Linked DNA regions of Rattus norvegicus. The protein of the gene in region 1 interacts with the protein of each later gene in a biochemical or structural test. Links are inferred from orthologs where the notes say so. Each region holds a gene or a part of one and is shown in the gene's direction. Other genes may lie near its edges.

Region 1 (3,811 bases):
CCCCATATCCAGTGGATCAAACATGTGGAAAAGAACGGCAGTAAATATGGACCTGATGGGCTGCCCTACCTCAAGGTCCTGAAGGTGAGAACTTTCTGAAGCCCAAGGGGCCAGCAGTGAGGGCCCCCTTGGAGATCTGGCTAGGGTCTTTGATTTCCTGTTGGCTTTCAGAGATGGTTCTCTTTATGGACTGGCCAGTAGAGTATGTTAAAGAATGAGTAGCCATTAGAACTGTTAATAACATTCTGGAGGGGGTTGTGAAGTAGGGTGGGGCTGCTATACTTGGAACCAGAGAATTCTGCTGTTTATTAGCCCTGAGGAGATGCTAAAGCTGGGGTGAGGTATTGCTTACAAGGCGATGTAGAGAGTAGACGGATTGAGTAGATGGAAATAACTGGAAAGCTCTAGACAGTTCTACTAATGTTTTCCTGACGTTGTTTTATGATACTCAATGCTATGTTGATATATAACATTTGAATCAAATTGTAGTAGTTAGAAACAATTCAACTTTCTTTTTCAAAAACATTCCCTCTCACCTTTTATGATTTTTGTGTGGTCTAGAGAGTAAATGGTGTGTGTGTGTGTGTGTGTGTGTGTGTGTGTGTGTGTGTGTGTATTTTCACATCTATAAAACAATGAACGATGAGAATTTCCTTTCCTTTGTATTAAAAGAAATACTTTTTTTTCATGTACCCATTGTTTTGTGGCTTTAGCCTCTTCAGTTTTGGGGCCTGGTCACCTCTTCAGTGCACTGAGCTAAGTCTGTATTGTCAATTCTAAGCCACTGTCTATCTACCATGCTCCTAAGGGGCATAACAGACAGCCAGTCTTCCTATTCAACTATAGGCACAACAGGTGGCTAATGAAGAACACTCAACCTATAGTCTTCTCTCTAGCCAGCAATACCCAGGATCCAAAGTGCTGGAGAAAGACGGCCAGGCTGGAGAGCTGCTCACCCATCCCACCAACTGGTCACCTCATCCGCCCTCCTGTGATCACTACCGTTCTCCACCACTTGACTCATTGTGATCTCCTCCCTCCCACAGCTCTTTAGGTGTAATTCATGGAGATTGTTTTCTTGTGGTGTGTTGGTGGTGGGACCATAGGCAGCACCGAGTCCTTCCTGGTTGGCCGTTATATTGTTTTCCTATGTCTGTTCTAGCACTCGGGGATAAATAGCTCCAATGCAGAAGTGCTGGCTCTGTTCAATGTGACGGAGATGGATGCTGGGGAATATATATGTAAGGTCTCCAATTATATAGGGCAGGCCAACCAGTCTGCCTGGCTCACTGTCCTGCCCAAACAGCAAGGTAACAACGTTTTTGTGTTTGTGTTTTTTATTTTTTATTTTTATTTTTTTTTTTAAGAAAACTGAATATAGGAGTTAAAAAAGACTCGGTGCTTTGGGAGGCAGCAGGCAGCTTCTAGAATAACTCTTGTGGTCTTGGTATATTTATAATGATCTTTCTTTGGTGGTGCAGCTGGCGTCATGCCAGTGGCCATGGAAAAATGCCCACAATGTTCAAAGTGCTTGAAGATTATCTTCCACCCCCACCCTGTTTTCAAGCCCTTCTTTCTGGTCTGTCTTGTTTGGACTGCACACTTCCCGTGATCACTGTGTCTGAGTGCACGTGGGCCTTGCGTTTGCATGCCCGTCGAGTCTGCACTCTCTGATTATTAAGCCAGACTTGGTTGCCTTTTATGCTAGTGACATAGAGAAATGCTAGCATGATAGGATTCACCTAACGAAAGTTTTGTTCTTTGGTTCGATTCCACACCGGATCCTTTCCAAAACTGGAGAATGGTTATCTTCTAGTGCGTATGACACTGGAGGATAGTGAAGGCAGATGGTGGAGTTTTCAGTTATCATTCTTCACACGCAGACATATTCATATTAGAAAAGGAAACAAACCATAAATCCAGTTTTTTCTGTTACCAGTATTACACTTTCTGCCATGTTCTTTCAATGATCATATAAAGCAAGATGATTTTCGGCCTGAATGAAATTAACCAGAATCCAGTCACCAAGATAACGTCCCACCCTGGTTCCCATGGAGCCTGAGGGATGTGTGGGATGTCCACCTGATCTGCCGTGCTTTATTCCATCACACAGAAAATAGAAGAGCCTCCCCTTTTCTCACAATTGGAGTCTGCATCCAACAGGACCAGAACCCAGATTAGCCCTCAGGGTATTATACTTTTTGGAAACCCACTCCCAAATCCATATGCAAACAAATTCAAAGAGAACGGACTCTGTGGGCTGATTTTTCCATGTGTTCAATCGCATGCATGTCTAGGTGGTGACGCCGGTGTGGTGATGGGCCTGCAGAGGTGAGCTGGCCGGTGTCTCTCAGTGTCTCTTGGTTGTGGGCTTTGTGGACGGGCTGCAGTTGGAATCTCCTGATGGCCAGCACCCCCTGGACCTGCTGGGACAAGGCCTCTTGGTTCCAAGGCCCCCTCCACAATCATTCCTATGTCTAGCCTTTTTCTTGCTTCGTTTGTTTTCTAGGCCGCCGGTGTTAACACCACGGACAAAGAAATTGAGGTTCTCTATATTCGGAATGTAACTTTTGAGGATGCTGGGGAATATACGTGCTTGGCGGGTAATTCTATCGGGATATCCTTTCACTCTGCATGGTTGACAGTTCTGCCAGGTACATACAGCTCTTTCTTTCCATGGGTTGGCCTCTGTCCTTGGTTGATTGCTATAAAATTAACACAGCTTCTGTTCTTAGAAATAGCCCCATTTATCCATTGCATAAAGATGTCCCCCAAATGTTTCGAATGATTTCCGACCCCTCCACCCCCAGAACAAGAAACGGTCTTAGAAATTCATGCACAAGGAGATCCCATACTAGAATTTATGGTCACATAAAATGTTACCTTTAAACTCAAAGGGATCTTATAATCTTAGTGAATCATTGAGATGTCGACTCAATGAGCCCATCCCCCAACCCCCTAAGAAGGAAGTCAAAATTACTTTGTGAAATTCAAAGCAATTTGTTTTCCCCATTGTAAATTCCACTTTGCTGAAAGCCCATATGTGGTTTGATGCCTCTTGGTCTGACTCGCTTACCCCTCATTTGAGTGCAGATAAATTTGTACTGGGGTGCCCAGGAAGCACCTCTGAAGGGAGGTGTGCAGAAGCGGTGTGTTACCTTGGGAATCGGGTGGCTTGCTGCATGCCTGGATAGAGCGGACTCTTGGTTTGCTTTTACTGCAGAAGCATGTGTATGCTGTCTCGGGCTCGATGTTATTTCTGCCTCATAGAGAAATAAACATCAGCAAAGCCCATTGCTGTCTAAGCCTTTAACCAACGCCTCTGTTCTAGTCCAACTCTCTTGGTCCATGCTGCTCTCTCTCTCATGCATTGCCTAGCATTTCCTTTGGAAACCTGCATAGACTGGGTTGCAGCTCATGGTACTCTCCTGCTCCTGTTATGAATGCCTTGTTTCTAGAGTACCATGCCTACTGCATGCTTGTTTTATAGCTCGTAAAAATAAATGGATCGTTTTGTTTTGTGCTATGCTGCTGAGAGTTTTGACTACCTTTGCAAATATTTGGTTTATTTTTTTTTCTGATTAAAATGTATAAGCTTGAAAGTGATAACCGTTGCATCCAATCTTCCCCTTTGGTTCTGTTATGAATCTGCTCTGTGAGTATTTATTCTTGAAACAGAGATGCCTCTCCTGTCGAGCTTGCTTGTATTGCGATGCTGCGCTCTGTAAGTGCCTACCTGGTACTTCTTAACCAATTTGCCTGACAGCGCTACCCCTTAAGGAGGTGCAACTTGAGAATAACCCTGTGTGGA
Region 2 (4,374 bases), on another chromosome or scaffold:
GACTCCCACAACAGAGTAATATATGTTCACCCGATCCTAGCCAGTCGTTCCCTAGTTTAGCTATTTCCTTAAGGAAATGATCTCCTGGGACTCAGAACTGTAGCATACTCAGGTAGGAGTGGGTTATTACAGTATTTCCTTCTTTGTGCCTTTTGGTTCAGGGCAATAGCTTCCTGGTCTTGTCCTGACTTCTGTCTGAGTTTGGGTTGAAAGCTTGTTTCTGAGAGCAGAGGTAGAGTTGGGGGTTGGTGTGCTCAAGACTGTTTGTGGAAGACTGGTTAGGTAGTGAAGCTGCATTGTAAAGTAGAGCCCTTTAAACATTAAGTCTGAAGATGGGCGGGGACCTCCTCTTAATGGTAAAATGCAAAGGAAATTGCATAGAGGAAAAAAAACAGGCAGCAGGGGATTTGGTCAAATTGTGTGATAAAATCTGCGATCTCAGGAAAGTGCATAGGCTTTGAAGTCCATGCGTGATTCTGTAAACGACTCGTGTTACCAATTAGAAATCAGTAACTTGGGTCCCTGATTTCATTTGCGCCAAGAGAGAGGCGATGTTTAAGGGTGACGATAAATCTTCCTGAGCTTAAAAAGACAGAGAGGGCCAAAGTGTGAACTTTTTACTTCAGCAACGGAAGCGAGAAATCAATGATTCATTAAAACCGGAGACCTCCTTGGAAGCTGGCAGGAGAGGAGGAAACGAAGCTAGCTCATTATGTCTCCCTTCTCGACTTTAGCTCCTATCAGTTTATAATCTGCTCTTGGAGAGAGTTTGCCCTGAGCATCCTCTTCTGCCTTCTCCCCAGCCCTCTTTCCCTGGTTCTGGGATCTGGAAGGCAGAAACACATCCACACACAAAAGCCAAGCTCCAAACTCTTATTTTCACGGCCAAAGAAAGAAAGAAAGAAAGAAAGAAAGAAAGAAAGAAAGAAAGAAAGCAAGCAAGCTACACTGGAAAACAAGTGAGCAAGGGGCTCCCTGTAGGGGAGGGGAGTGGTTCCCGCCGGAGGGCAGCAAAATTCGGAAAGCACGCGGACAGCTCGCGCTGGTGGCCAGCGCTGCGAGCACAGGACGCTGGAGCCGCAATTAGCAGGAGCTGCAGGCTGCGGGGCGGCTGCGCCCACGGAGGCGGCGAGGAAGGGACCCGCAGCCCCCAGCTCAGAGCAAAGGCATCGCGCACTCCTCTGGCCCAGGCTCCCCCCTCGCCCCCCCCCCCCGCGGCCTCTTCCCCCTCCCTTTTCTCTGGCGTTCCCAGCAGCTTAGGGTTTCAGATGTCCCACCGCCGTTTGACCCCCTCCCCCCTTCTCCACCCCTGCAAATGAGGTTTGACCAGCAGAGGCAGAGCCCACCTCTGGCTGAAAAGCACTGACATTTAGACTCCAGGCTTCAACCTGTTTACAAGCGGCTTTCCAAGGGACTTGGAGGTGGAGGGAAGGGCCAAACAAAACACCAGCCGCCAGCCGCCCCCCAAACTAGAAGTGGCTTTCGGGAGACTTCACATCAACAGGCACCACCAAAAAGAGAAAGGAAGGAGAAGAAAACAACAGCGCCTGGGTAGCTGCCTCCAGTTCTGACAACTCCAAAGAGACACACTTTTTAAGTGGCCAGCAGGCTGGGACTCTGCAGAGAAGGACCAGAAGGTGCCAACCGCAGAGGGGCGCAGATGTCTTCCTGCACCCCCACCCCACCCACTTTGGGTTTTGTTCACCGTCCTGTCATCTGTTTTTCAGACCTCTTTTGCATCTAACATGGTGAAGAAAGGAGTGAAGAAGAGAACAAAGTAACCCCCGGGGGGAGCGAAGAGCTCTGGTGACCGACACCACCAGTTCCTACTGCCTCGGCCACCCACGTCCACTGTTCACCCTGAGACTGGAGAGACACAGGCAGCGGATCCGAGGACGGAGCGAGGACAGGCAGCCGGCCCTTCCGAGGAGTTATGGATGTTGGTGCACTCGCTTCTGGCCAGATCCGTACCCAGAGGGAGCTAACCAGTAGCCATCACCTCCAGCTGTCTCTTTGCCTCGCACCAGGTCTTACCCTTCCAGTATGTTCCTTCTGATGAGACAATTTCCAGTGCCGAGAGTTTCAGTACAATGTGGAAATGGATACTGACACATTGTGCCTCAGCCTTTCCCCACCTGCCGGGCTGCTGTTGCTGCTTCTTGTTGCTCTTCTTGGTGTCTTCCGTCCCTGTCACCTGCCAAGCTCTTGGTCAGGACATGGTGTCACCGGAGGCTACCAACTCCTCTTCCTCCTCCTCTTCCTCCTCCTCGTCCTCTTCCTTCTCCTCTCCTTCCAGCGCGGGGAGGCATGTGCGGAGCTACAATCACCTCCAGGGAGATGTCCGCTGGAGAAAGCTGTTCTCCTTCACCAAGTACTTTCTCAAGATTGAAAAGAACGGCAAGGTCAGCGGGACCAAGAAGGAAAACTGTCCGTACAGTAAGTAACAAATGCGTGCTCCTCTCCTTCCAATTATCCACCCCCACCCCACGCGGGGAGGGGGGGGGGCAGAATCTGTTCCAGATGTGGCCAGCTAAATATTTATGTCCCCAACCCCTGTAAAATGATGAAGTGGAATACTTTCACACTAAATCAGCCCCCTCCCGAGTATACATTGTGCGCAGCATTTCCTCCACTGTGCAAGCCTCCTCCACATCCCTGGCAGCCCTGTTCCTGATCTCTCTAGTTTGTCACTCACAGGATCACTCCTGGTGCTGTAGAGTTGTTGCTGCTAGGAGATGTCCCATTCTGTCTCCAATACCTTCCCCCATCTCACCCAGAGGTCTCCTTCCCCTCCCTTCTGGAAATGGCTCAAGTAAACACATTTTGTTTCTTTTCGCTGGCAATCTTAAGAGTTTTGGGACAGACTCCTAAAGCTGAAAATAATTATCCAGTGTCAATTGTAGGAGCTTTATGGGAACTTGAAGGAAGAAAAGTCACTTCCACTGTCCCCCTGGTCCCCAGCAAAAGCCCCACCACTTCTAGATAGAGGCTAAAGAGTTTATTTTCCCTGGTTTTGATTTTTTTTTTAACCCCTCCTTTCGGGTCCTTCATTTCGGTTTGAGTGATTGCAGTCCATGAAGTTAGTTTTTCGGGCAGTACCGCTGCTATTTGTCTCCTGCCTGCCTTCTCTCGGTAACATGATGCTCATGTCTGCATTGTCAATCGCATATGCGCTGCTTTGTGGTGTCTTGTTGTACTGTTTCTTCTGAAACCTCTCATATTGCAGAGGCATAGTACTACAGCATTGTAAACATCTGGGACTGGATTCACGCAGACCTCACACAAATTTCATTGTCATCCTTTTATTTTCAAAGTAAAAGCCCACGTCTGTTTTCCAAGGCTGGATCCCATAGGGCGAGGTTGGTCTCCCAGCACACATTCTGCAAGGGGACCCTTGGATCTCTTTCTCTCCGGGTTTCCTTTCTCCCTGGTCTTTCTTTTGGTTCTGTCTTGTGGGGGGTGGGGAGCTGGGGGGCTGAAAGGGGAGGAAGAATGGGGAGAGAAGGGGTGGATACCATGTCTCTTCTTGAATCAAGCCAGCCAAGCCAGATTATTCTGTTGGTTTCCTTTCCTGGTTACTTTCAAGTGCCGAGACTTATTCATCCTCCATTGATTGTTGTTTGAAAGGATCCCAAGGCTAGGTAATGGCGCACTGAAGACAGTAGACAATGACATTTAAACATCTTTAATGACCACTTGGCTCTTTCAGTAAATTCCAAGTCACCTTTCAAGGGGAACTTTTTGTGATAGTTCTTTGGGAATTCTGAGTATATATTGGCCAGTAAACTTAAATATGTGAGTCATAGCCATTTCATAAGTTTCGACTCAGAGTCTATCAGGTCCTGATGAAAGTGACAAATGACCAGAATTAAGCATTTTATTTTTCGATAGAGATTACAGGAATTAAGACTCAGATTTCTTCTCGGAGGACCAACATTAATGTTCGCTAGTCTTCACTTGCTTGTATCCTAATAGCTCATTAAAATTAGCAATGCCTTTATGAGCAATACATTTGCAGAAGCATTTGAAAGTTTAGTTTTGGAAATATTAAATACCTTTTTACATACACACACACACACACACACACACACACACACACACACACACACACACACGTATCTCATTCTGGTGCTTAGAAAGTAGCTGGAATTCTATTAGTAAGAATGAGTACTCCTCCTTGAAAGTCTGTCACTGAGTGCTACGGATCCTATAGATAGCCCTTATGGTTTGATTACCTAATTTAACATTTTTGCCTACTTCTAAAGTAGAATCGGGTGGTGGTACCCACTCAAAGGAAGAACTAAGCTTGGGTTGCAGGTTTTTGTTTTTGTTTGTCTTTTTTTTTTTTTAATCCCCATAGCTTGATTTCCATTA

What was found.
Region 2: the proteins of Fgfr2 (region 1) and Fgf10 are reported together in a solved structure, tested with the Homo sapiens proteins (3 studies listed by BioGRID and IntAct, with this or other methods). The link is inferred for Rattus norvegicus from reciprocal best matches to the Homo sapiens genes FGFR2 and FGF10.

Annotation. Positions count from the first base shown.
Region 1 is NC_086019.1:194,211,179-194,214,989, reverse strand, and holds part of Fgfr2 (fibroblast growth factor receptor 2), read left to right. Parts: coding exon 1-84; intron 85-1,162; coding exon of another isoform or gene 1,163-1,310; intron 1,311-2,509; coding exon 2,510-2,654; intron 2,655-3,811. UniProt on the Homo sapiens protein: Tyrosine-protein kinase that acts as a cell-surface receptor for fibroblast growth factors and plays an essential role in the regulation of cell proliferation, differentiation, migration and apoptosis, and in the regulation of embryonic development.
Region 2 is NC_086020.1:52,532,575-52,536,948, forward strand, and holds the start of Fgf10 (fibroblast growth factor 10 precursor), read left to right. Parts: upstream 1-1,364; 5' UTR 1,365-2,090; coding exon 2,091-2,436; intron 2,437-4,374. UniProt on the Homo sapiens protein: Plays an important role in the regulation of embryonic development, cell proliferation and cell differentiation. Required for normal branching morphogenesis. May play a role in wound healing.